Linked DNA regions of Oryctolagus cuniculus. The protein of the gene in region 5 interacts with the protein of the main gene of each other region in a biochemical or structural test. Links are inferred from orthologs where the notes say so. Each region holds a gene or a part of one and is shown on either strand. Other genes may lie near its edges.

Region 1 (3,500 bases), about 41 Mb from region 5:
ACTCACCTTTATGACTAGATACCGTGGTGGATCTCGGGCCATCCTGGTGAACTCATTGGCTAGTTCTTTAAAGGTTGGGCGAATGTTCTCATCAATCATCCAACCTAGGATAAGACACAGGAGGTAAAAAACCGTCAGTGTGCATGGAGCCGTAAGAGGAGATGGGAGGGAGAACAGTTAACAAATAGCTGGGATTTTCAGCCTTTTGGCTAAGATCAACTGTGAAAAAATGGCTTGGGGTGGGGGTGGGGGTGGGCAGTGCTATGGCATAGTGGGTAAAGCCACCTCCTGCAATTCTGGTGTCCCATATGAGCACCAGTTCCTATTCAGCTCTCGGCTATGGCCTGGGAAAGCAGTGGAAGATGGCCCAAGTCCTTGGGCCCTTGTACCCGCGTGGGAGACCCAGAAGAAATTCCTGGCTCCTAGCTTCAGATCAACGCAGCTCCGGCCTTTGGGGCCAATTGGGGGAGTGAACCAGCAGATAGAAGATCGATCTCTCTCTTAAAAAAAAAAAAAAAGGCTGGGGGAGGGGGGGATGTCGGGCCAGCAATTTAGCCTCTTCCTTGGGTCATCCACATCCTATATCTGAGTGCTGGTTTAAGTCCCAACTACTAGGCTTCCTATCCAGCTCCCTGCTAAAGCACCAGGAAGCAGTGGATGAAGGCTCAAGTACTTGAGTCCCTGCCACCCATGTGGGATACCTGGATGGAGTTCCTGGATACTGTGACAGCCTGGCGCAGCCCTGGCTGTTGCAGTCATTTGAGGAATAAACCAACAGATAGATCTGTCACTCTACCTTTCAGAAAAATAAATAGGGGCCGGTGCTGTGGCGCAGCAGGTTAACACCCTGGCCTGAAGCGCCAGCATCCCATATGGGTGCCAGTTCTAGTCCTGGCTGTTCCTCTTCCAATCCAGCTCTCTGCTATGGCCTGGGAAAGCAGTAGAAGATGGACCAAGTCCTTGGGCCCCTGCACCCACTTGGGAGACTTGGAAGAAGCTCCTGGCTCCTGGCTTCAGATTGGCATAGCTCCAGCCATTGCGGCCATTTGGGGAGTGAACCAGTGGATGGAAGACCTCTCTACCTCTCTCTGTAACTCTTTCAAATAAATCTTTAAAAATAAATAAATAAATAAGTATTTGAAAAAAATTGACTGGAGCCAGCAGGCGACTCACACTTGACCATGACCATGTAGACATCAATGGTGCAGATCTGGGGCTGTGCCAACCGTTCCCCCTTCTCCAACAGGTCTGGTACTTCTGCTAATCGCAGCCCTGCATAGGGCTCTGCACCGAAGGTCATCAGCTCCCAAACTGTCACACCTGGTAAGAAAACAGTACCCATAGGCAATGAAGTAAAAAGGGAGGCAGAAGTTGGTCAGACACAAGATGTGAAGGGCTTAGAGAGTCTAAGAGAGGGTATCTCCAAAGGCAGTTGTGGGGGCTGGCACTGTGGTGTAGCAGGCATCCCATATGGGCACCGGTTCGAGTCCCGGCTGCTCCGCTTCCAATTCAGCTCTGTTATGGCCTGGGAAAGCAGAAGATGGCCCAAGTCCTTGGGCCCCTGCCACCCACATTGGAGACCCAGAAGAAGCTCTTGGCTCCTGACTTTGGATTGGCGCAGCTCTGGCCATTGTGGCCATCTGGGGAGTGAACCAGTGGATGGAAGGCCTCTCCTCTCTGCCTCTCTACAACTCTGCTTTTCAAATTAATTAATTAACTAAAAAAAAAAAAAAAAGGTAGTCGTGGAATTTGGGACAGTGATGGCATGAAGGCACCCAGATGCACTGACCGTAGCTCCAGACGTCACTCTGGTGTGTGTATTTCCCAAAGTGGATACTCTCAAGAGCCATCCACTTAATTGGAGTCTGGGGAGTAAAGACAAAGGTGTCACTAGTCCATTTCCACAAATTTTCTTAGCATTTCCAAACCCCAAGCATGCTATCGTTTTTCCTTCTTGCCGTCTGCACTTAAATTTCTGCCAACCCCACCTTGCCCTCCATGAATTTAACGGTGAAGCATCTGCTTGCTCTGAGAGACTTCCCCCGTGCTTTGTTTACACTACCCCACCTCTCACGAGGCCCTCTGTGTCCCCTCACCTTGGCTTCACTGTGGAGGAGCTGCTTATCATCTGGGGGCAGCAGGTCAGCCACACCAAAATCTGCCACCTGAACCTGACTGGCTGACTTCAGCAGCACGTTGCGGGCAGCCAGGTTCCTGTGCACCATACCGTGCTCCTCAAGATAGTACATGCCCTGTAGGGGAAGGAAATAGCCCCAGGCTCGGAGGAAATCCACTGCGGACCTCCTGAATGCCCCCAGACCCTTGAGGGTCCTCTAAGCACTGCAAAGCTGTCATCTTCTCACCCCTGCCCTGCCTGCTGCAGCAAGGTGGCTCCCGCAGGACTCCCGCCATGCTCCTCTCACCTTAGCGATTTGTACGCCCCAGTTGAGCAGCAGCTGTGGCCCCAGCGACTCCCGCTGCTGCCTCACATGATCCAGCAGGGAACCCAGAGGCAGGTATTGAGTGACGAGCTGCAGCGATGACCCTGGGCACAGTCCCAGCAGCCGTACGATGTGGGCGTGGTCCAGGCTGCCGATGGCCAGCATGTGCTAAGAGACACGGGAGATGTTATCCAGGAATCACGGGCACACCCCAACCAGGGCGTCCCCGGACATTCAGGTGCATCAGCATGTCTAACACAGTATCTGCTAACACAGGCTGTGCTTGTGTCTGATCTTGTCCCCTCTCTCACCGGTGCACAGCATTCCTTTACTTACATCCGTCACGGCCTGAAAACTTTGCCGTCCACTCTTGTCTTCGATGACTTTAATGCACACTGGAATCTTGATGGATTCACCCTCGGGGATCCACACACCCTGGGAAGTTTGGGGCAGGAGTCAGCCTAGGGTCATTCTCCCCAGGGTCAGCCCTTTGCCCCCAGATCCATTCCCTACCTCCCCAGACTTCCTGGGGGTCACTCACTTTGTGCACAGTTCCAAAGACGCCGGAACCAAGCACTTTAAGCTTCCTCAGCTCTGTCTCTTTGAAGATTCTGGCCAAGACTTTGTTAGCCTTCTCGCTGGGATCCAGAGGCTCTAAGCTCTGAGGAGCAGATGGGAAAGAGAAACTCAGGAAAGCCCACTCACATGTCCCATACCAACCTGCTCCCCGCAATAGCTACCAGGAGCAGCAGAGCCCAGGGTGTGGGGGCAGGAATGGGAATTATGTTTAGCCCTGGAAAGCACTATGGGCATATCTAGGAATAACAGATCCCAAGGACTGAAGAAGCTGTGCTTGCGAGCTCAGGAGTCAGGAGGGGTAGGTTTTCCCTTTGCTGGGGAGCTGGGAAGTCGGCACCTTGAGTACCTTTTATCCAGTGCTCTGTGCGTTTCAAAGAACTTTCATGTGCATTATCCCCTTTCTCCCTAACAGTCTCCCTGGAAGGATGAGTGCTATTTGCGCTGTACAGATGTGCAAACTTAAGCACAGAGAAGGCACAT
Region 2 (3,500 bases), on a different chromosome or scaffold from region 5:
GCCGCGGGTTTCAGCTGAGACAGAGGAAGCCAGGTTTGAGCTATTAATGCCCTCAATCCATCAACATGCCCTGAAGTATTTGGCTTCAGGAGCGAAACCCAATCTGCTATCGACGCGTCCCTGACTCCTTGTTCTGGATTTCCTGTTTCAGCCAGTGCGAAGCCGGGAGGGCTGGGATGTGGTCTCGGTTTCCTAACAGCACAGCTCCGAGGGCTTAGGATCCACTCCTGAGCACCAAGCACCATGGACAAGCACCTCTCTGTGCTTTGGAACTAGAAAGCCCTGTGTGAAAGGGGGGCCCCAGCTTGGAGCCAGAGCCCGAGTGTCCAGTCCCAGCTCGGCAACTTCCAGCTCCGTGCACGTTCACACAACGCTGGGGCTGACGTGCGGCCAACAACCTGTCCTTGCTGGGTGACCTCCGCCGCCGCCAGCCAGGCCCAGATAGATGCCCTGCTCATTAACAGGCGCCTGGCCTAGGGCCAGGCCTCTCTTACCTCAGGTCCATGGGAGACTGGGGGCTGGGCTGCCGCAGCTGCCACCGCCTGTGCACACTGTTGTTTCTCTGGCTGCGTGGCATCCGGCACAGCCCGCAGAGGTGACTGGGACCTCTGCGGCGCAGCGGCGGCTGCCTCGGTTCGGAATCGCTGTGCCCCAGGCTGGGAATAGACGTGGAAAGTGTGCGGCTGCCGGTTCTCAGCGCCTTCGTGGAGGACGGGGATGGGAATGTAGCCTGGTCGGAGCTGGGGGTACACAGGGTGGCCCTCCCTAGCGGGCAGCAGCCTGGCACCCTCCCGCGAGGGCCCATTGGCTGAGGATGGAGTCTCCTAAAGGGAAGAAACACAGATGGGTTAGAAACTGGTAAGAAAACGCTGCGAGAAGGCAACTGTGGCATCGAGAGCGTGATCTCCCAGAGTGCTCTGCACCCCAGAGTGTCAGCTGGGACGCGCCCAGCCCCCTGCCTCTGCCACCAGCTCTACTGCTGTCTGGGGGCATCAGGAGAGAGGTGAGCCAGGGTAGCTGTGGAGCACAGCGAGTTCCCAATTCCCAAACTGACAGCAGTGAATGAGAGCAGCCGACTGTCCCCAGATCTTCAGAGATCCAGACCAGAAGGTGGGCCCTTGGAAGCAGGGTCCAGCTGCAACCACCACCAATGTATAGCAAAAAAAAATTAATAAAAGATCACCTCCTAGATTTCCAGTCCAAACACAAACACAGAACACAGTTGGGAAGTCTTTGCAGAGAAGTGGGGTGGCACAGGCGCTGCCCCTGCAGCGATATGGTCAGGAACAACCAGAAAGGCAGGGCCAGCCGGGAGGGGAAGCATCTGGGGATTCCCTGAGCTCGGCTTCCACAAGGATTCTTTGCTCAAACTTTATTTCAGATTTCAGAACCTTCTTCTCCTAGGCCCATCAGCGCATTCCCCTGTAAGATCCAGTTTTAGCAGAAGAACCCTGCTCAGTTGGTTTAGCCAGAGTGCCCCACCCTGGATATCTGATCCACTTCCTCAGCCTCCAGGGTCTGCTCACGCCACAGGCCCGGCTGCAGCAAGAATCCTGTTAGGTAGGTTTGGCCAGAATCTCTCTGACCCTGACTTCCCCTTAGTCACTTTCTGTCCAGGGCCACACCCTGCTCCGCGGCTGTAAAGCCCCCCTTGCCCACATCGGTCTCTCTGCCCCGCCCCTGCCCGTTGCAGGCTTCCTTGTGGACCTCAGCCCAGGCCCCCGAGTCAGTCTCCTCTAGCATTACAGGGCCCACTCTTGCGAGCGGCGGCTGGGGACCCCCTCTTCCGTCCTCTCTCGCAGTCTCCCTTCAGTGGCCTGGCTATTTTGGGACCCTTGAGAAGGCCGCGTTCCAGATGCTCCGCAGGGAAAGATCTTATTTCAGACAAGGCCGGTGGGTCACTGGGCACTGCCATCTCTCAGCACACAGAGGCTGTGCAATGAAGCCCTGACCCCTTGGACTAGGGCTCCTTTCACGGGGTGGGGGAAGGGCACTGATCTGTGTCATCCGTACACATCCCAGTGCACAGACCCCTGAGCCCTTCCTGTAGGAGGAGTCTTGCTGAATGGCAAGCACACGTGGGGAATCTAAGCTTGCACAGTACAAGTCCCACTGGCGCAAAATCCACCAAAAGCGAGACAGACAACAAGGGCTGCTCTGCATTCTGAGTGCAGACAACACTAACTGCAATCCCGCTGAGACCCTGCCTAGGGCGGGCGTCCAGCACACAGAAAAGGCAAGGGTGTCGCCCTGTCCTTGGGGACACAGGCAGGCAGGCAGTCTCAGATTAGAATAGCCACGTGCTCAGGGCGGCAGCATTATTTTAGCCTGCTTAACTCTCAGGTCACCCAAGAGCAGGCAGTGGGTCTGGACGTCAGATTCGGAACCCAGTTCCTGCCGTGGGACAGGCAGTAAAAGGCAGCAGGCTGGAGGTGCTGAGAAAGCTTCGGCTGCTCCGCCGAGAGCCACAACACGCCCTCCCGGAGTGCCGTCCACCCCCAGCCCACCCCCACTTCCTTCCAGCTGCAATCTCGGCCTGCACGGCCGTGCGATGTCATCTCTGCGGGCTGCCTGCAGGCTCACTGCTTCTCCCCAGACACTGCACACTCCAGAGCCCAGCAGTCAGGACGCCTTCACCACGTGCTGGTGGGTCTCTCGGGCTCACCAAACCAGCAAGGCACCCTCTCTTGCAACAAGGAGCTTAGAAGATGGGTTAAGGGTGCCTGGGGCAAATATAAAGAGGCCTGAGGTACGGGGGAGATGGGGCTTTCAAGGGTGGAACCAGCCTGGATGGGAGCCAGCAACACTGAGCCTGCAGAGCTGCAGTGAGGTTTTGTAAGACCCATGAGAAGGGACGCAGGGGCCTGCGACAAACAGGAGCTCCCCCTACATAGGCACAAGACAGTGCCTGTCAGACTGGGGGGGGGGGCAGGGGGACGGGGGCACGGCAGCGGAACCAAGGTGAAGGACAATCAACAGTGACACAAGTCAAATGGTGGTCACCCCAGAGGAGAGGACATGGCCAGACAGGGGTCTGAAAGAACCTTCTGAGGTTCTGTCTTCTGGGGGCAGGAAATGGGTGTGCTCCTGTGAAAACCTGTCCAATAATACCTTCTCTGTAGTCCCGACACTGCCACCCCCTAGAATCCTTAGCTAGGCCTGGCTGAGCTCTCGGCTCTACCTGGAGAAAGCCCCTGTGTCCAGGAAGCTGGCCTTATCTGTATCTTACTGACCATATTCTGTACCTCAACTTTAAGAGACAAGAGAGGGGCCAGACAGTGGTTAAAGCCCCAGCCTGCAGTCCCGACATCCCATATGGGAGCCAGTGTGAGTCCTGGCTGCTCCTCTTCCAATCCAGCTCTCTGCTGTGGCCTGGGAAAGCAGCAGAAGATGGCCCAAGTTCTTGGGCCTCTGCACCCACGTGGGAGACCAGGAAGAAGCTCCTGGCTCCTGGCTTTGGATCAGCTCAACTCTGGCCGTTGCGGTAATTTGGGGAGTGA
Region 3 (3,500 bases), on a different chromosome or scaffold from region 5:
GAAACGTACACCTGTACCAATGGGTCATCAAAACCTTCACGTCGAGGGTTAACAGGCTTAAAGGGAGGTGCACACAAGCACAGCACACACAATTTACCTGGTGGGTTCAGGCTTCTTGCTTTGACAGTTGATTAGCAAGAGGTAGTCTTGGGGATCCTCCTGGATGCCAAGAGTTTCCGGGGGTGGTGGAAGGCTGATCAGCTGATAGGAAGGAGGTAGAGCAGCAGACGAATCCACCTGGGAGGACGGTGGTGCCGTGTTTATAGCTAAAGGCAAATCAGCTGGTGCTTGTAGGGAGATGCCAGGCGGCTTCACAGGCTCTGCAACACCAACGTTTAACCGACACTGTCTATCACATTTTCACTTTTAAAACAAAGCTGCTTTAAAGTGTGGCGACAAGTTAGTTCAACACAAAAAAAAAGAGTAAACCATGACAATGTCAGTTAAAACAAATACTGCCTAAATGGCAACATTTATACAGGACCTAACTGGTTCTTGTCAAAGAGATTTAAGAGGAGTCTTTCACCATTCCAGTGGCTCTAAAAACGACACGGTTAACCTCGTCTTGAGCAGTCTTTAGTGTTCAGGCCACAGGAATGAAGGTGTTCTGCAGCCTTAGCAGGACAGATTTTTCTATAACAAAGTGTTCCTAGGCCAAGTCCACCCTCTTGAGGAGACCCATTCCCAGGCCCGTGGTTCTCTGAGTACTGAGGTCAACTCTTGACCCAATTTTTTTTTTTTTTTTTTTTTTTTTGGTCTTTCCACATGTCCATGGACTAGGGAGAAATAGTTTTAATTCTGGACTAGTAAAACACATTCTAGTCGTGCCCTGGGAAGTCCAAGCATCAGGGCATCACCTGGTCCCTCAGCTCACAGCCCCATCTGCCCTTTAAGGACTCGCCTGCAGCACTTCCATGGTTTCTGAAGAAGTAGCGTACTAAGCTTAGCTATGTTCTGAGAACACAGATTCGTGCAGAATGAAGTAATGTGGAAACAAGGTGAAGAGCCAGAAGTAAAATGCTGTTGACAGCACTGAGGCAACCAAGTATAATTTTAAGGGTGCAGAAGAAAAACGCTCTATGAGTCCGGTTAGGACTGAATGGAAGGCTGGGAGCAACCCAGAGAGAGGCAAATGCTTATATACTGCATGAATACACAAACCTGAAATAAACAAACAGGAAAAGCTGGGTTGACACTGAGATTTTTCACAACAAAACATTACATACGCATACAGTGAAATTAACATGAGTAAAATAACCCCCAAGACTGAAACCCTGAGGACAGTTCATTAGTTGGACCAACGTGGTAGAATGGTCTCCTCTTCTCCTTTTTATTTATTTATTTTCATTTTATCTGAAAGGCAGAGAGAGAGACAGAAAGATGGAAAGAGAGAAGTCTTCTACCCACTAATTCATAACCCGAATGCTCAACAGACAGGGCAGGGCCAGGCCAAAGCCAGGAGCTGGCTCCTCAATCTGGGTCTGCCTTGTGGGTAGTGGGATACAAGTATTTGAGCCATTGTCTGTTGCCTCCCAGGGTGAGCATTTGCTGGAAGCTGGACCTAAAAATGGAGGAGCCAGGAGCTGAACTAGACATTCCATTATGGGTGGTGGGCATCTCAAGTAGTGAAATGCTGAACCACACATCCACTCCACTTCCCTATCCCCAGTCCCTTTTAAGCCCCGTTGTGTGCCAGTATTGATTGTAATGGTAGGGGTTGCCTTCCATGGCTGTTTGAAGGTCTTTGCTTTCATAAGCTTGGTAGGGAATATAATCCAAGTTTTTCTCTAGCTCTTGCCTCTTACACATCTTCACATACTATGAACACGGCCCTTCTTTTTTTTTTTTTTTTTTTTAAGCAATCTTGGAATCCCAGGCCTCTTTTCAGAAAATTGAGGATCCTGTAGCTATAAAGAGGACAAAACTACTTTCATCATTCACAAGTGAAAGAAACAGAAAGCTAAGAATTAGGTGGTTGCACTGATGTTAATAAAACAAGGTCAGACAGATGTGATGGCTTGGTTTGGGTGGTTTTCTTCTCCCACTTAAGATGAACTGCTCAATTATTAGTGTATAGATACCAATTTTAGAAAAAATATTAAAGGAAATGTGTGATCTATAAAAACAATCATCTTCAAAATTTATTTTAGGGTTACAGAATATTAGAATTCATATGGCTTTATACAGTGATGTATTTCTAGTGTTTAGCTTGTTATTGTACTGGTTGAACTAAAAATTTAACTAGATCATTCAATTCTAACATGTTTCTACTTCAGAGGAAGGTAGTACATAAAACCCACTGTGAATATAGCCTATGTGATACATTGACTGCTTTCTGGTCCTTCTGCTAGTTTTTTTCTCCTCCATGTAGTATATATTTTTCTTAATGTCTTCTTTAAGGGTTTACTATGAATTACTATTTAATCTGTGACATTTGAAATCCCCATAAATAAATCTCTGAATATTTTCAACTGAACCAAAACAGCAACTCACCCATTTCATGGTGTATGCTGTATACACCATTTTATAATCAATACCTAATAAATGTGACTACAAGTGCTAAGAGTAAACACTGAAGTTACAGCAATAAATTGTATAAATAGCTAAAAATTCATTTTTCTGTTCTTACCTTCCATAAACAAGAAAGAAAAATTAACTCGACATAATATAGGTATTATATTTTTCAAGATAAGCCCTTTTGAAGACTTGTCATAAAATGGAATTAAAAGTTTAAAATTTGGAAATTAACTCCTATTTACTCAGGCAAAATTCTCAAACTGAAAATAGTTTTCAATTAATTAGCATCTGGTAAGGCTTGCAGAATTCCAAGAAGCAGAGCCCAAACTGCACATGCAGGTGAATGGGTCTTATAGATTTGGACTCCTTGCTTTGAGCTCTTCTAAAACCACACAGAGAAAATGCTCAGTGAGTTTCTCCCATGAATGAAACTTTTTTTTCAGCATTTACCACACGTAAGGCATAATCAGCACAGGTGCTCTGATTCTTGTTTGTTATTGGGACCCATGATTAGAGATACACTGCTATTCTTAAAAAGTCTTATTAATGTGTTACTATTCGAGCTTCACAGTTAGGATACAGTCTGTGCCTAGGAAGAAGAGCTGTAAAGTGAGCTAAGTGAATGTTGCTATAGCACGTATATAAATATTACAGTTAATTCATGAAGACATCAAAAAGCATGATTTATTCTAACTGCCAAGAGAAGCTTCTCTTGGTAGTTAGAAACTAGAAAGAGAAGCTAGAAATGACATTTTACCCCTCTCTGGGGATTAAATGTTTAGAAAGTTTGTTGGAAAGGCAGACAGAGAGAGAAAGGGCGAGAGGGAGAAGTGAGAGAGATGGAGACACTCAGAGAGAACGTACTCTTCCATCCACTGGTTCACCCTTCCCTCAAATGCCTGTAAGAGCTGGGGTTGGACCAGGCCAAAGTCAGAACAGGGAGCTCAATCCAGGTCTTGCTCAATCCAGGTAGAGACACAAAT
Region 4 (4,004 bases), on a different chromosome or scaffold from region 5:
TAATTTGGGAAACCAAAATTTAATGATTCTAACAAATTTACTTGTAGCTACACAATTTTATATGCAACATTTCATCCCTTAAGATTACAGAATTTTGCTTTCTAAACTAAATTACATGTCAACAGTTCTAACCAGCAGGGCTAACAGCCCTCCATAGCTTAAAACAAACAGGTGGGAAAAAATCCCTAACCCATGGAGTTTTAAAATTCCAGCCAATTCTAATTAGAAAAACCTGGAACACATTTGACAGGTCCAGTGTTGACAAGAAGACACAGGTTTCTCATTAAACTTTGTTTTAATGGGTCTCAAAATTCTGTGACAGATTTTTGGTCAAGTTGTTTCCATTAAAAAGTACTGATTTTAAAAACTAATAACTTAAAACTGCCACGCACAAAAAAAATGGTCCACAAAACATTCTCCTTTCCTTCTGAAGGTTTTACGATGCATTGTTATCATTAACCAGTCTTTTACTATTAAACTTAAATGGCCAATTGAGACAAACAGTTCTGAGACCGTTCTTCCACCACTGATTAAGACTGGGGTGGCAGGTATTAGGGGTAATATTCATTTAGCCTTCTGAGCTTTCTGGGCAGACTTGGTGACCTTGCCAGCTCCAGCAGCCTTCTTGTCCACTGCTTTGATCACACCCACAGCAACCGTCTGTCTCATATCACGGACAGCGAAACGACCTATTAAAACAAGTATTGAGTTGCCATGAGACACATAGTTCACAGAAGCAATTGTTAATCTTTAGTACAACTTGTAATAGCAATAAAAAAAAAAATCCTTACCCAGAGGAGGATAGTCAGAGAAGCTCTCAACACACATGGGCTTGCCGGGAACCATATCAACAATGGCAGCATCACCAGATTTCAAGAATTTAGGGCCATCTTCCAACTTCTTTCCAGAACGACGATCAATCTTTTCCTTCAGCTCAGCAAACTTGCAAGCAATGTGAGCTGTGTGACAATCCAGTACAGGGGCATACCCAGCACTGATCTGACCTGGATGGTTCAGGATGATCACCTGGGAAAAAAAGGATATGCATTTTAGTGCTTCTCAAACTGAACTGTGGTAACAGCTAGAAATGCTAACTCCCCTGATGTGATAACACTTCATACATGCATCAGATTGCTTACCCCCTTGAGTATGCATGAACATTGTCAATTAACAGATCATTTTAAATTGTTACCTGAGCAGTGAAGCCAGCTGCTTCCATTGGTGGGTCATTTTTGCTGTCACCAGCAACGTTGCCACGACGAACATCTTTGACAGACACGTTCTTGACATTGAAGCCCACATTGTCCCCAGGAAGAGCTTCACTCAAAGCTTCATGGTGCATTTCGACGGACTTGACTTCAGTTGTGACATTGACTGGAGCAAAAGTTACCACCATGCCAGGTTTGAGAACACCAGTCTCCACTCGGCCCACAGGGACAGTGCCAATACCTAAAATATTTGCAGATTACCAAAGAGTTATTGAGGGCCAAAGATTTTTCACCTGTTCCAATTCAAGTTATATTCTGATGTTACATTAATACCCAACTTACCACCAATTTTGTAGACATCCTGTAGGGGCAGACGCAGAGGCTTGTCAGTTGGTCTAGTTGGTGGAAGGATGCAGTCCAGGGCTTCAAGCAGTGTGGTTCCACTGGCATTGCCATCTTTGCGGGTGACTTTCCATCCCTTGAACCACGGCATCTGAAACACAAGAGAACAATTAATTCTATCACATCACCACTTCCAGCTCTTTAACAAGCACTGTCTTGAAAGTCACTTACATTAGCACTTGGCTCCAGCATGTTGTCACCGTTCCAACCAGAAATTGGCACAAATGCTACTGTGTCAGGGTTGTAGCCAATTTTCTTAATGTAGGTGCTGACTTCCTTAACGATTTCCTCGTATCTCTTCTGGCTGTAGGGTGGCTCAGTGGAATCCATCTTGTTAACACCAACAATTAGCTGTTTCACACCCAGCGTGTAAGCCAGAAGGGCATGCTCACGGGTCTGCCCGTTCTTGGAGATACCAGCTTCAAATTCCCCGACACCAGCAGCAACAATCAGGACGGCACAGTCAGCCTTTAAAGAAATCAAGGACACACACTGTGAACGAAGGTACCTCAAACCTAAGGAGGAACTCACCCACCCCCCGCCTAGAAAACCTTATGTCTACAGTTACTAGTTGCACAAACCTGAGATGTGCCTGTAATCATGTTTTTGATGAAGTCTCTGTGTCCTGGGGCATCAATGATAGTCACGTAATACTTGCTGGTCTCAAATTTCCACAGGGAGATGTCGATGGTGATACCACGCTCACGCTCGGCTTTCAGTTTATCCAAGACCCAGGCATACTTGAAGGAGCCCTTTCCCATCTGTAATTACACAGAGCACTCAGACGGTTACTAAGACACAGCAAAGCTTGAAACCCCATGCCCCCCTCCGCTTGGGAATGCATTCCGCTTCCCAAACTGCTGGGCCTAGGTGGCTCTCCAGTCGATATGGTGGCTCGTGATTTTAACATTCACATTCAGACAACTAATCACTGTTGTCTTTTATAGTCATAGCACTCTCATTTTAGTGGCCAGACTTAATGTAATTCAGCATCTTTCCCTTGCGATACTGGACATACCTCGGCAGCCTCCTTCTCAAATTTTTCAATGGTTCTTTTGTCGATGCCACCACATTTGTAGATCAGATGGCCAGTGGTGGTGGACTTGCCCGAATCTACGTGGCCAATGACGACGATGTTGATGTGAGTCTTTTCCTTTCCCATTTTGGCTTTGATTTAGCGGTGGTTTTCACGACACCTAAAATGGAAAAAGGGGGGGAACCTTTGAACCACTGTCCGAGGGTTGAGACTAAGCCACGTTCAAAACTCAAAAGGGCAAATTCCAAGGAGAATTACATCCAATGCCAAGCTGGCCTAACTCTTCAGTCTCCACCCACCGAGTGAGTTAACTCCATCGCCTAAAAAATCTCCGCCCCCAGCCGAGCCAAGCCGAACTCCAAAGGCCACACGAAGAAGCCAGGTGCCCAGACGGCGCCCTGTACCCCGTGGGGTCGCAGGAAGCGGCGGCCGAAGAGGGGAAGGCTCTTTTCCTTTGTGTGGGTGACTCACCCGCCCGCTCTCCCGGGCCACCGCGTCCTCCATTTTGAGCTCCCTGCAGCGGGGACGGCGAGCGGCCATCTTTTTCCGCGCACGCAACTGGTGCCGAGCGGGCCGGGCTCCGCCGCCCGGGGTGGGGCGGCCGCGGCCCCACCGAGCCGCCCGCCCCACGACCCTCGCCTCTCCCCTCGCCCGGCCTGGGCAGGCGCGGCGCCGTCGGGCCTCGCCCAGGCCGCGCCCGACATGTGCGCCCGGACGGGCGGGCCCCGCCGCTCGCTGTCCCTACGCCGCGCGGCCGCCCTGCCACCCCCTCGGGCCGGACGACGAACGCGCGGGGTAGCCCGCCCGGCCTCGGCGGGCCCATCTCGACGAACAAAAAAAGAGCCGTACCGATCCACGTAAAAACTCAAAGGGCCGAAGGGCCCCGCGAGCGAGGCTAGCCAGGCCGGCGCGAAGGCGAGAGGACTCGCACGCGGCGGCCACGCCAGGCCTCAACTCCAGCACGAGGAAGAGGCTCCTGGAAAACGCGCAAACCTCCAACCCTCCCGCCCCGTTACAGCCCGAAATTCGGAGCCAGGAACCTCGTCAAGAGGCTCAGTGGCATGGCAGTGTCCCCGAGCACGCGAGGGCCCCAGCCCGCTCAAGGCCAGACCCGCGGAAGCCACACCCGACACTCACCTGTGTTCTGGCGGCAAACCCGTTGCGAAAAAGAACGTCCAGGGCGACTACGGCACTTATATACGGTTCTCCCCCACCCTCGGGAAGAGGGCGGAGTCAGCACACGACACCGCTTTCCCAGTTTGCCCCGCGCCACCTCCACTAGGCACCGGTTCAATCGCCGTCCCCTCCCCCAACGCCTCGGGGACCGTGGGCGATGTGCGCTCCGACCACTGACGAGC
Region 5 (3,500 bases):
AAACAGCCCCTTACAGACTAAGATACTGGGAAACAAGGGCCTGAGGACCTTGTCTATGGAAAAGATAGACCACAACCACTGGCAAGTAGAAGGGGTTTTTCAGGGGGAAGCCTTGGGGTAGCAATAGCTGCACAGAAGTAGTTCCCAGTTAATCCAATTACACAGATTGCCCAGCAGTGCAGATATCCTACACTGAAGAGGTCAGAATAGGTAAGAGACCTCCTAATTTAGCTATCGGGGACCACTGGTGATTCCTTGAGTGAGGCGAGACACAAGTGACCACAGGTTAGGTGGTAAATAAGAATCTAGGAATGGGATACAGTGAATGTAGGTAATTCCCTAGGCTATGAAGTAAAGAAACTGGCAGGTCACTGGCATAAAGAGACCAGGGTTAACACTGAGAAGAGCTAAAATGTGTTCCTCAGGTTGAAGAGAAAGGCCAGGAACCATGTGGGCCAAGGATGCAGGAAACAGGAATTAACAGGAAAATAGAGCAAGGAGAGGAGGGCAGGCCAAGAGGAAGGAGAGGGGAGTGGGGATGGGTATGAGGGGGTCCCTCTGTCCCAGGAGTCAGAGTTAGGGGCCGGGTTCACCAGGAGGACCCCCTCTCCACTCACTCTGAGGCCACAAAGGCATGTTCCTTGATGGTATGCAGGACATCTGAGAACTTGATCTTGGTGGTAAGGGTGTGTCCATGGTAAATGACTGGCATCCCATCTGGGCCATCCCAGCAGTCCACTGGGAAGCAACATTATCACAGTCAAAGGGGCAGGCCTCGCACCTTCCCCCTCCCAGGTCCTGGCCCCCACGCACATTCAATGCAGCGACAGCCCATCCGCAGACACCGAGCATAGGCTTCCAGGGAGGACTCGCTGGAGAACTGGTCCCCAGTCAGGTACCTGGATAGGCAAGAAGTGGGTGTGGTCAGGTGGGCTCCTCTTCCTCGAGAGAGGGCAGAGTGGGGCTGAGGGAGCCACACTCACGTGTTGTGTGAGGATGAGATCCAATAGTGGGAGAGAGGGTTGTTCATGGTGTCTGGGCACACTGCATCCAGCTGGGAGTTCCACACACTGTTCTCTTTGGAGAACAGGAAGGTGACAAACTGTCCAAAACAAATGTGGAAGGGAAGACAAAGTGAGCCCCTGCCTGGCCCCGGGATGGTGAACAGGGGTGGAAGAGAGGTCACTCAGCCTCAGCTGGGGTGGTCAAGGTGGATTTCAGGTGTAACAAGGAGGAATCTCTGAGAAGCTGGCTCTTGGGGTTCAGTTGGGCTTCTGGTCACCACCACCCCCCGCCCTGACATAAAGAGATAACAGTGAAGCCCACCTCATCCAGGAAGAAGTATGGTTCCTCAATCTCTCGCAAGGGGTCCCGGAGAAAGCTGAGCATGAATTCCTGTACCTGGAGCCGGTCAATGGCCCATAGCTCCTGACAGGGAGGGGAACAAAGGGAAGGCATGGGAGAGGCCTCAGGTCAGGGATGAACCCAGCCCTGAAGCCTGATACCCTGGCCCAGCCCCAGCCCTGCCATACCCCCTGGTACTCAAGGAGGAACTGCTGGAACTCAGGAAGGGTCACTCGGCAAAGATCTGGTCGCTCCCCTGTCCTGCAGGGAGAGAAATGGTAAGTGCCTGGCAGCCAGTTGGCTAGCACTGCTAACAGCTAGGGGCCCCCTGGAAGGCAGAGGCCAACTCCCAGCCAGCATAGCTACCCAGAGTAGTCTAGCATGGCTCACCCTTTTCACATGGATTAGGAAGTACCCATGACAGAGATGAGGGAGGCCCAGGAAAGAACCCCACCTCCCCACTCCGAACCAAACCTCAGGGCGCTGGCTTCCAAGAAGGGGAGATCCATCTGCAGGAAACAGAACCTGGTCAGGGTGCAAGTCCTTGGGGGCCTCACAGGAAACGGCCTCTTAGGAAGAGAGGCTGGGGCAGCAAGGGACAGACCTCAGGAGAAGAAAGGCTAGAGAAATGGCACCCAAAAGCCCCCAAGCAGGGCAGCAGGGTTGAGGCAAGCAGGGCTGAGGATGGAGTGGAGAGGCAGGGCAGGGCAGGGGAGGGTAGGTGGCTCATGCACCGTCTTCTGGGCGCTGTACATGAGGCTGCGGTACAGCTGAGCAAACTGCCCGTAGGTGATGTCCCCACTGCGCTGCTCCAGGTCCTACACAGTACAGAGCAGGATGGCTAGTCAGGCACCCAGCCAAAGGCTTCTGGCCACCCTGGCCCCTCCCCTGCAGACAGCTCCAGGAGGTCCTTACCGTCAGCCGCTCCTTGAGGAAGCGCATGTTGGGGACCCGGTAGTTGACCTGGGACAGCATGTTCTTCAGGTCTTTGGCTGAAATACTGAGAAAACAGGTGTGTCCTCAGGGGCCTCTGATGTGTGGGCCAACCCACCTGGGGCTGGATAGGTAATCAGTACTACTCTGGGAATCTGGAATCCTGGGCACGAGACTGAATCAGAACCCACAAGGTGGACAAGGGAAGTCTCTTCCTTCTCTGGGCCTCAGTTGCCTCATATGAGCAAAGAAAATTCCATGATTCTGACAATGAGGAAGTGGCCAGGCTCAGTAAAACAGGTCAGGCCTAACAGGAGGGAAAAATCAAACCCCTGGCCTCCCCTCCTTGCAGTACTGCTGAAGCCTGTACCTCCAGCTCTCCAGGTGCCAGCTGGCCCCTGCAGGGCACAAGGGAGGGCTCACTGGCAAATTCCCTACAAGGGGTAGCTCAGCAGTGGGATGATGGGATGCTGGGAGTTTGCTCCTCGGAGCATATTATCCCCAAGCCCCATCAGCACCCAGTGCCACAGTGCAAGGAATATGGGAGGAGGGGATAGGCACACTCAGAGAAACTGCTGGTGACTGGGTACTTTCCTGGTGTCGGATGGGAAAGGAACTCTAGAGAGCAAGCATCCCTGCCCTCCAGGGTACCCTGTGCAGGATGGGAGAGCCAGGGGATATTGTTGGACCTGGCAACAGGATGGACAAGATGGGAGAAAAAGGATTTCTCTTCTGAAATGTGGAGATAGCCCGATAGGCAGCAGTAAAACCAGAGGGAACTCGGCTTCTCCACAGGGGTCCAGTATGGCTGAGCCTCATCTGACCCTCAGTCCCAAGAGGTAAAAGCTGTCAGGGTTTCGAGTTTCTGGTAAGGAACGAGATGCCTTCTTATCTAAAAGGCTTGTGCCACCAGAGCTTCCCTGTGGACTGTTCCCATCAGCATGTTAACCGTCTGTTGTCTCCCACCAAAAGACAGGTCTTGCCCTGCTTACCTCTCCCTGTTCCCCTCTGCGGTACAAACTTCCAGAAGTAGTTTCCCAAGCCCCCTTTCACGCCTGGAGCCCTCACCATTCTGCTGATGCTGCTCTCCCACCATGCTGTTTGACCCAAGGGTCATGTCACAGTCTTCCCTCAGGCTGCCAGAATTCAATACCATTTTCCTCTTACTAGCTCACACTAGCCGCCATTCATCCCCAATCTCTGAGATGGGCTGGCATCCCTGT
Region 6 (3,500 bases), on a different chromosome or scaffold from region 5:
CCATGTCACCAAGCAGCCCCGGCACCACTTATAGCCAGGACATTCCTAGTGCCCATGGAGCCCCCTACCGGGGCAACTGTGTTCCACGCTGAGCCAACAACACTGTGTTTCCTGGAGACATCAAGGAATGCGTTCAACCCAAATGGTCTCCATTACCCTTTCCTTCCTCCCTGCCCCACCCCGCAGAGCCAGCGCCCTGTCTGTGACGGGGGTGGGGAAGATGACAGGTGGCTCCTGGTGCCACCGACACACCACCCATGCCGGGGACCTCCCACCGCCCCGTCTCAGGTCTGCCAGGTGCGCCTGGGGCTCCTTACCGCGTCTCCTGCACCTGCTCCACGTCCGTGGTGATCTCCGTGAGATTCTCGATCAGAGTCCGGCTGTCCTTCAGCCAGGATATCCTGGGCGGGGGGTAGGCACGCACCTCCACCACGAAATGCTTCACTTCGTGCAGGTTGACGGCCTCCGACTGGTTGAAAGTGGGCTTGATCTCCACAAACCCCTTCTCTGCAGAGGGAAGAGTGCGCATTGGAGCAAGGGCGTCAGTGCACACGGCCCCCGCAGTGCACACGGCCCCCGCAGTGCACACGGCCCCCCACAGTGCACACGGCCCCCCACAGTGCACACGGCCCGGCAGCCCTCGCGGGAGGCGGGCCCTACCATGCACGGCGATGGTGACCTTCTTCATCTCTTTGACCTCCCTGGTGGCCTGGCGGGCGGCGCACTCGTAGTCCCCACTGTCCTTCACTGTGGCCCTGGGGACCGTCAGCGTGTACACCAGCTTGAGCGTGGGGACTTTGATTTCTTCCAGCATTGTGACACCTTTGCCCTTCTGCAGTGGCAGAGGAAAAAAAAAAAAGCTTTGAAGACATGCGCTCTATTTTATTCATTTATTTGAGAGGCAGAGAGAGGACTAGCATGTTCCATCTGCCCGTTCACTCCCCGCAAGGCCCACAACCGCTGGAGCTGGGCCACGCCGCAGCCAGGGGCCAGGAACACAGTCCAGGTCTCCTGTGTGGGTGGCAGGGGCCCAAGGACTTGAGGCCTCCCAGGGTACACACAGTGGCATTAGCAGGCAGCTGCTAAAAAACAAAAACAAACAACAAAACAAAACAAAACAAAAAACCACGCAAATCCAGAGTGAAGCCAGGACTCCACGCCAGGCACTGTGGTGAGATGCAGGAGTCTGAGGCAGCTGGGCCAATGCCCACCCTCAAGGGAGGAGCCTGAAAGACCACCCGGTGCTCACTGCAGAGGCGAGGGGCCCAGCAACGCCGACAGGACATGGATCACTAGGGAGATGCACCTGCCCACGATCCCTAGCGAGATGCACGTGCAGCCAAGTGCACCACGGCCGTCTCCATGGGGCACCCACCATCTCCCCGGGGTAAGTCCACTGCAGGTCCACCACTTCGTTGTTGAAGACGGCGCAGGTGACCACAATCGTCTCTCCTGCCTTATACACAGTCTGGAGCGCTTCCATTTCCAGATCCAACTCCGACGTCGCTGCAACGAGAGCACACACGAGCGCCTGAATCCCCCGGTGCGCTCGGCTTATGAGACGGTTTCAAGTGCGCACGGGTGAGAAAACCCCGCAAAATGCTCCACCAATCAGTCTGGAGATTCCTCAGAAACCTGAATATAACCCTACCGTTCGACCCAGCCATCCCACTCCTTGGAATTTACCCAAAGGAGTTTAAATTGATAAAGAAAAAAGCGGTCTGCACCCTAATGTTTATTGCAGCACAATTCACAATAGCCAAGACCTGGAACCAACCTAAATGCCCATCAATGGTAGACTGGATAAAGAAATTATGGGATATGTATTCTTTAGAATACTATACCGCAGTAAGAAACAACGAAATCCAGTCATTTGCAACAAAATGGAGGAATCTGGAACACATCATGCTGAGTGAAGTAAGCCAGTCCCAAAGGGACAAATACCATATGTTCTCCCTGATCGGTGACAACTGACTGAACACCAAAAAGGAAACCTCCTGAAGTGAAATCAACACTATGAGAAACGGTGACTTGATCAGCATAGCCCTGACTGCTAATGGACAACTTAATACATTATCCCTCATAGTATTTTTTTTTGTCTGTTCTTAATATGACCGGTTTAATTCTGTAATTATCACACAGTTATTCTTAAGTGTTGAAAATTAACTGAAATGTGATCCCTGTTAAACATAAAAGTGGGAATAAGAGAGGGAAGAGATGTATAATTTGGGGCATGCTCGGGCTGACTTGCCCCAATTGGTAGAGTTGGAAACATACCAGGGGATTCCAATTCAATCCCATCAAGGTGGCATGTGCCAATGCCATCTCACTATTCCAAGTGATCAATTTCAGTTCACAATTGATCATAATGAAAGGACTAAGAGTCAAATGGAGCACATAAACAAGTCTAGTATCTGCTAACACTAACCGATAGAATAAATAAAGGGGAGAGTGATCCAACATGGGAAGTGAGATACTCAGCAGACTCATAGAATGGCGGATGTCCTAAATAGCACTCTGGCCTCAGAATCAGCCCTAAAGGCACTCGGATCTGGCTGAAAAGCCCATGAGAGTATTTCAGGCATGGAAAGCCAAGAAACTCTGGCAAAAAGATCTCTGCGAGTGAGATCCCAGTGGAAAGAACAGGTCTTCAAAGAGGGAGGTGCCTTTCTCTGAAGGGAGGAGAGAACCTCCACTTTGACTATGACCTTGTCTAAACAAGATAAGAGTCAGAGAACTCAAGGGGCTTCCATAGCCTTGGAAACTCATGACTGGTGCATAGGGAGATTACTGATGCCATAAACAGGAGTGTCAATTTGTAAAGTCAACAACAGGAGTCACTGTGCACTTACTCCTCATGTAGGATCTCTGTCCTTAATGTGCTGTACACTGAGGCTTAATGCTATAACGAGTACTCAAACAGTATATTTCACTTTGTGCTTCTATGGGGATGCAAACGATTGAAATCTTTACTTAATGTACACTAAACTGATCTTCTGTAAAAAAAAAAAAAAAAAAAAAAAAAGAAATTATCAATTCCCAACTTGACTCTCACTGGGATTAAACATGACAATAGGTCTGATCTGATTTCATCATCATTTAAAAAAAAATCATCTATTATTTTTCACTTTATGTTTCTGTGTGGGAACAAACTGTTGAAATCCTTACTTAAGGTATACTAAGCTGATCTTCTGTATATTAAGATAATCGAAAATGAATCTTGATGTGAATGGAAGGGGAGAGGGAGTGGGAAGGGGGAGGGTTGTGGGTGGGAGGGACGGTATGGGGGGGAAAGCCATTGTAACCCATGAGTCGTACTTTGGAAATTTATATTCATTTAATAAAAGATAAAAAAAAAAAAAAAAGAATGACATGAAAAAAAAAATGCTCCACCAATCAGTTCGAGGGAGACAGAATCTGTAAAACCTCAGAGGCCTGGCTATTGAGGTCCTGAAGACGGAGGGGCAGCCAGCGGCCGCACAGAAATACAAAATAATGAC
Region 7 (4,188 bases), on a different chromosome or scaffold from region 5:
GCCCCTACCTCATCGGCCTGGTGAGCCTCACCCCGGGCTTGGGGGTCCTGTTCTCCCAGCACTGGCCGGTGGCCTACCTGGGCGGCTGCAGGCGCTGGGCACCCTATAGCCTCCCCTGGGTGGGGAGGGCTTTGTCTTGGCAGAGTCCCTGAGGGCCCACCCCTTTCCCATGGCTGTCCCGGCCGCCCCCGACGCTCCGCCCTGCCCCCCGCAGATCTCCGACCGCCTCCGCCGCAGCTGGCCGCCATCTTTCCTGTCCGAGTTCCGGGCCCTGCAGTTCTCGCTCATGCTCTGCGCCTTCGTCGGGGCGCTGGGCGGGGCCGCCTTCCTGGGCACCGCCATGTTCATCGAGGGTGACCGCCGGCGGGCGCAGCTGCACGTGCAGGGTCAGTGCGGGCCCCGCCCTGGCTCCCGGCCGCTGTCTCAGCGCTGGGGCTGGCGGCTCTGTGTCCTCCTCCTGGTGGTGGCTCTGCGGGTCTGCTCCAGCTGACCTTCCAGCCCTGGCTCTGACCCCGCCCCCCACAGGTCTGCTGGCCGAGGCAGGGCCCGCAGATGACCGCATCGTGGTGCCGCAGCGTGGCCGCTCCACCAGGGTCCCCGTGTCCAGTGTGCTCATCTGAGTGGCCGTCCCTCACCTGTCCGCACATCTGCCGCCGCGGGCCCTGGGGCCCGTCCCACGAGGTGCCCGGGCCTAAGCCCTCAGCCCGGCCCAGCTTCCAGGAGGGACCCTGGGCCCTGTCCAGCTCCCAGACACTACATGGGCAGCCTAGGGGAGGAGTTGGGGGTCTGGGGTGGGGAGGGGTGGGGTCCCCTCCACTGGAGCAGCCCCAGGGGGTTGGTGCTATTTGTAACCGAATAAACTTTGTAGCCAGACCCCAAGTGCCTACCTGAGTCTTTTGTCTGGATGCTGGTGACCCCTGACCTCTGGCTGGCCATCTCCAGCCCCAGGGCTCCTGGGGGCGGCGGGGGCGCTGCCGGGGGGCCACCGGGCCAGTCCCTGTGCTGTGGGGCTAAGCGCCCAGCAGTGAGGACCGCCGTGCCAGTGAGCTGGCTCCGTGTGACCCTGAGTCACGGCCGGGCTTACTGGAGCCCGCCCCCCCCTCCGCACACAACCCCTGGCCAGCCTGGGCGAGCTGGGGTGGGCGCTGCCCTCTGCCTGGCGGAATGCCTGCCGCCGACCCCGACCCCCGGTGGCTTGCCACAGGCCTTCACTCCCACGGAGGAGCTGCCCCTCGTCCCACGGGCAAGTGTCCCTTCGTGAGAACCCTGACGGGGAGGCCTCCCCCTCCCCACCGGCTGGGTGGGGGTGGGAAGGGGCGGTGCAGCGGGCTGGGAGCCCGATGATTTCCTGCCTTCACCCGGTGCTCACCACAGCTTCCTGCCGAGGACGGGCGCCGAGGCGAGGCGAGGCCAGGCGGGCGTCTGGCCCAGGGCAGGTACCGCTGGGGTGCAGGGACCCGTCTCACGCTTGCATGGCGTGGCTGGAGCCCTGGACCCCAGCCCGGGCCCTGGCCTGACCTAGGGGGCTAGGGTCCCCCAGAGCTTGCACAGAGCCCAGCCCCCACAGAGGGCTCCGCTGCCCCCTACCCCCCACCGCTGCGCCCTTCCCTGAGGACCTGGGCCAGGCTCTGCCCAGCAGATGGAGGTGAACGTCCTTGGACACTCGGCGCTGGGCCTCCTGCTGGGGCCGCTCCTGGCTGTGCTGCTAATGGCCCTGTGTGTGCGCTGCCGCCGGCTGTCAGGTGAGCAGGGGCTTGAGGGCGGGGGTGCACCTGCTGGAGTCGCTGTACAGTCCCCGGCCTCCCTCGCCTGCCTCCGCCTGCCACCGCCCCGAGCCCTGGCCCCTGCCTCACCAACCGCTCTCTTCCCCCAGACTCCTACAACAGTGCCTCTTCCTCGGATGGGTGAGTGGGTCCCCTCCGCCCCGTGCCTGTCCCCCGCAATTCCCCATGGAGGGCTGGGCTGGGGGTGGGGGGTCTTGCTCGGCTCCAGCCCCCACCTGTGTCTCTCTTGCCAGTTTGTATCCCAGGAGCATCTTGATCAAACCGCCCTGTGAGTAGTTGGAGGCGCCCCTGCCTCCGGGAGAGAGGCTCCCTCCGTTGGGTGTCCCCTCGTTCTAGGTTGCCCACATGGCCTTGGCTTGAGCTGGGATGGGGAGTGGGGGGCGGTCAGGGCACCAGGGCTTCGAGGAAGGCGGGAGATGCGGGTCGGAAGTCACTCTTCCCAGCTCAGCTCTGTGTCCTCAGATACCCCTGCCCCCTGGCCGGCTGTTACCTCCGTTCCACCCCTGAGCCAGCCAGACCTGCTCCCCATCCCGTGAGTAGCCCCCCAACTCCTTCGCCTCCAAATCTCTCTCTACTCCCTTGTTTTTCCAGTGCCCCCCGCCCCGCCCTGCTGTAACCCTCCTGGCATTGAGTGTGACCTCTGACCTTTGATTCCCAGGAGATCTCCGCAGCCCCCTGGGGATTCCCACCGGATGCCGTCTTCCCGGAGGGACTCTGGTGGCGGTAAGTGTGGCAGGGCACCCCCACTCTGCCGGGAAGGCAGGGGTGCCTCCAACTACTCACAGGGCGGTTTGATCAAACTCACAGGGATATACAAACTGGCAAGAGACACGGGTGGGGGCTGGAGCCGAGCCAGACCCCCCACCCCCAGCCCAGCCCTCCGTGGGGAATTGCGGGGGACAGGCACAGGGTGGAGGGGACCCACTCACCCATCCGAGGAAGCCCAACCCTGAGCTGACTCAGTTTCCCTCTTGCTCTCTCCTTGAAGCCCAGAGCGTGGCGAGCTACGAGAACGAGGGTGCGTTTGGGCTGCCGGGGGCGGCGGGGTTGGGGGGCCCAGCCGGGTGGGGAGGCGGGGGCCTGTCTCGGGCTGTGCTGAGCTCTCCCCACCCCGTGTCGTTGCCCGCAGAGCTGGCCTGTGAGGACGCGGATGAAGATGAGGATGAGGAGGACTCTCACAATGAGGGCTACCTGTGAGTGGCAAGGGGGCAGGTGGGCAGGTGGGTGCTGGGGCCCCGGGCGAGCTTCCTCACCCCCTCCCCCATTGGTTCACTCTCAGGGAGGTGCTTCCCGATGACAGCCCGGCCACCAGCGGCCCTGGCCCCTCCGCCCCTGCGCCCGGAAACCCTGGTCTCCGAGACAGTGCCTTCTCCAGTGAGTCAGGAGGTGCCGGGCCCCCCCCCCCCGCATGCTCCCCTGCCCTGTGAAGGTTTTAGCGACCCCGCTCCCCTGTGCTCCCTCTCCAGGGCTCCCCTGCTGCAGGTGCCGGACTTCTGCCCTGGCCTTGATTTCTCCTTTATTGTCTGGGAGATGTCCTTGCCTTTATTCGCAGCCCTTGTGCTGTATATATGTTTTCCCCTCCTATCCAGTTCTTTCTGGGTCTCTGCATGTTCCTTTTTTGTAGCCCCCTGTTCTTGTTTCATGGAGGCAATAGCATCTTGTACATTTCTGTTTTTTTTTTTTAACTAAAGATTAAAAAGAAATTTTGCAAAAATGTATTTTGAGAGGCAGTGGCTCAGATGCCGGCAACAGCCAAGGCTCAGCCTAACTGAAGCCTGGAACCTGGAACTCAGCCATGTGCGCGGCAGAAACCCAGCCGCTCGAGCCGTCCACGGCTGCCTCCCAGGGTACACCGCAGCAGGAAGCCGGAACTGGGAGTGGAGGGGGAGGGGCAGGGGGCTCCAGCCCAGGCTCTCTGAGCTGGGAATACAGGTTGTGGGCATCCCCCGCAGGGTCTTCACCGCTGTGCCCAGTGCCCACCGCCATCTGGTCGGTCTGAGGACCTGATGGTGTGTGTGTGTGTGTGTGTGTGCGCGCACACATGGCTGGGGGAGGGGGCGCCTTTTCCTCTGCTCCCCTTGGAGCTGCCTTTCTCCCTTCAGTTTGGTTTCACCCCGGGGCTTTTCTCGCCTGCTACGTGTGCTGGTCCCTGGCTCCCGCACCTGCAAGCTGCCGTCCCTCACCATCCCAAGTCCTGGGCTGCATCAGTTTGTCCCAGTGCTGCTTCCCATCCATCCATCCATCCATTCATTCACTTGTCACCCATTGTCCTGCAAATGCCTCCGTGGGGCTGAGGCCAGGCTGTGACAGCCACTGAGGCAAAGCACAGAGACTTCAGCGTCTCGTGCTGGCTGAGGGCTGCCACTTTATTTATTTGAGAGGCAGAGTTACAGAGAGAGAGAGA

What was found.
Region 1: the proteins of PLCG1 (region 5) and ERBB3 form a complex in vitro, tested with the Homo sapiens proteins (2 studies listed by BioGRID and IntAct, with this or other methods). The link is inferred for Oryctolagus cuniculus from reciprocal best matches to the Homo sapiens genes PLCG1 and ERBB3.
Region 2: the proteins of PLCG1 (region 5) and BAG3 form a complex in vitro, tested with the Homo sapiens proteins (2 studies listed by BioGRID). The link is inferred for Oryctolagus cuniculus from reciprocal best matches to the Homo sapiens genes PLCG1 and BAG3.
Region 3: the proteins of PLCG1 (region 5) and GAB1 form a complex in vitro, tested with the Homo sapiens proteins (2 studies listed by BioGRID and IntAct, with this or other methods). The link is inferred for Oryctolagus cuniculus from reciprocal best matches to the Homo sapiens genes PLCG1 and GAB1.
Region 4: the proteins of PLCG1 (region 5) and EEF1A1 form a complex in vitro, tested with the Homo sapiens proteins (2 studies listed by BioGRID, with this or other methods). The link is inferred for Oryctolagus cuniculus from reciprocal best matches to the Homo sapiens genes PLCG1 and EEF1A1.
Region 6: the proteins of PLCG1 (region 5) and PDGFRA form a complex in vitro, tested with the Homo sapiens proteins (2 studies listed by BioGRID, with this or other methods). The link is inferred for Oryctolagus cuniculus from reciprocal best matches to the Homo sapiens genes PLCG1 and PDGFRA.
Region 7: the proteins of PLCG1 (region 5) and LAT form a complex in vitro, tested with the Homo sapiens proteins (2 studies listed by BioGRID and IntAct, with this or other methods). The link is inferred for Oryctolagus cuniculus from reciprocal best matches to the Homo sapiens genes PLCG1 and LAT.

What each region holds. Positions count from the first base shown.
Region 1 is NC_091442.1:58,896,812-58,900,311, reverse strand, and holds part of ERBB3 (receptor tyrosine-protein kinase erbB-3), read right to left. Parts: intron 3,103-3,500; coding exon 2,983-3,102; intron 2,877-2,982; coding exon 2,778-2,876; intron 2,610-2,777; coding exon 2,424-2,609; intron 2,253-2,423; coding exon 2,097-2,252; intron 1,866-2,096; coding exon 1,790-1,865; intron 1,321-1,789; coding exon 1,174-1,320; intron 105-1,173; coding exon 7-104; intron 1-6. UniProt on the Homo sapiens protein: Tyrosine-protein kinase that plays an essential role as cell surface receptor for neuregulins.
Region 2 is NC_091446.1:11,052,123-11,055,622, forward strand, and holds part of BAG3 (BAG family molecular chaperone regulator 3), read right to left. Parts: intron 825-3,500; coding exon 495-824; intron 1-494. UniProt on the Homo sapiens protein: Co-chaperone and adapter protein that connects different classes of molecular chaperones including heat shock proteins 70 (HSP70s), e.g. HSPA1A/HSP70 or HSPA8/HSC70, and small heat shock proteins (sHSPs), e.g. HSPB8.
Region 3 is NC_091439.1:21,136,242-21,139,741, forward strand, and holds part of GAB1 (GRB2-associated-binding protein 1), read right to left. Parts: intron 321-3,500; coding exon 98-320; intron 1-97. UniProt on the Homo sapiens protein: Adapter protein that plays a role in intracellular signaling cascades triggered by activated receptor-type kinases. Plays a role in FGFR1 signaling. Probably involved in signaling by the epidermal growth factor receptor (EGFR) and the insulin receptor (INSR).
Region 4 is NC_091436.1:99,027,911-99,031,914, reverse strand, and holds EEF1A1 (elongation factor 1-alpha 1), read right to left. Parts: upstream 2,801-4,004; 5' UTR 2,773-2,800; coding exon 2,629-2,772; intron 2,372-2,628; coding exon 2,192-2,371; intron 2,079-2,191; coding exon 1,782-2,078; intron 1,702-1,781; coding exon 1,551-1,701; intron 1,450-1,550; coding exon 1,193-1,449; intron 1,027-1,192; coding exon 792-1,026; intron 690-791; coding exon 565-689; 3' UTR 280-564; downstream 1-279. UniProt on the Homo sapiens protein: Translation elongation factor that catalyzes the GTP-dependent binding of aminoacyl-tRNA (aa-tRNA) to the A-site of ribosomes during the elongation phase of protein synthesis.
Region 5 is NC_091442.1:17,778,290-17,781,789, forward strand, and holds part of PLCG1 (1-phosphatidylinositol 4,5-bisphosphate phosphodiesterase gamma-1), read right to left. Parts: intron 2,345-3,500; coding exon 2,260-2,344; intron 2,163-2,259; coding exon 2,079-2,162; intron 1,854-2,078; coding exon 1,819-1,853; intron 1,606-1,818; coding exon 1,533-1,605; intron 1,429-1,532; coding exon 1,327-1,428; intron 1,103-1,326; coding exon 984-1,102; intron 900-983; coding exon 814-899; intron 739-813; coding exon 618-738; intron 1-617. UniProt on the Homo sapiens protein: Mediates the production of the second messenger molecules diacylglycerol (DAG) and inositol 1,4,5-trisphosphate (IP3). Plays an important role in the regulation of intracellular signaling cascades.
Region 6 is NC_091439.1:109,918,155-109,921,654, forward strand, and holds part of PDGFRA (platelet-derived growth factor receptor alpha), read right to left. Parts: intron 1,507-3,500; coding exon 1,376-1,506; intron 833-1,375; coding exon 661-832; intron 508-660; coding exon 318-507; intron 1-317. UniProt on the Homo sapiens protein: Tyrosine-protein kinase that acts as a cell-surface receptor for PDGFA, PDGFB and PDGFC and plays an essential role in the regulation of embryonic development, cell proliferation, survival and chemotaxis.
Region 7 is NC_091450.1:7,782,849-7,787,036, forward strand, and holds the start of LAT (linker for activation of T-cells family member 1), read left to right. Parts: upstream 1-1,388; 5' UTR 1,389-1,639; coding exon 1,640-1,742; intron 1,743-1,873; coding exon 1,874-1,904; intron 1,905-2,017; coding exon 2,018-2,052; intron 2,053-2,246; coding exon 2,247-2,316; intron 2,317-2,442; coding exon 2,443-2,507; intron 2,508-2,772; coding exon 2,773-2,977; intron 2,978-3,063; coding exon 3,064-3,158; coding exon of another isoform or gene 3,159-3,170; intron 3,171-4,188. Other genes in the region: SPNS1 (protein spinster homolog 1), read left to right, coding at 1-20, 215-386, 526-620. UniProt on the Homo sapiens protein: Required for TCR (T-cell antigen receptor)- and pre-TCR-mediated signaling, both in mature T-cells and during their development.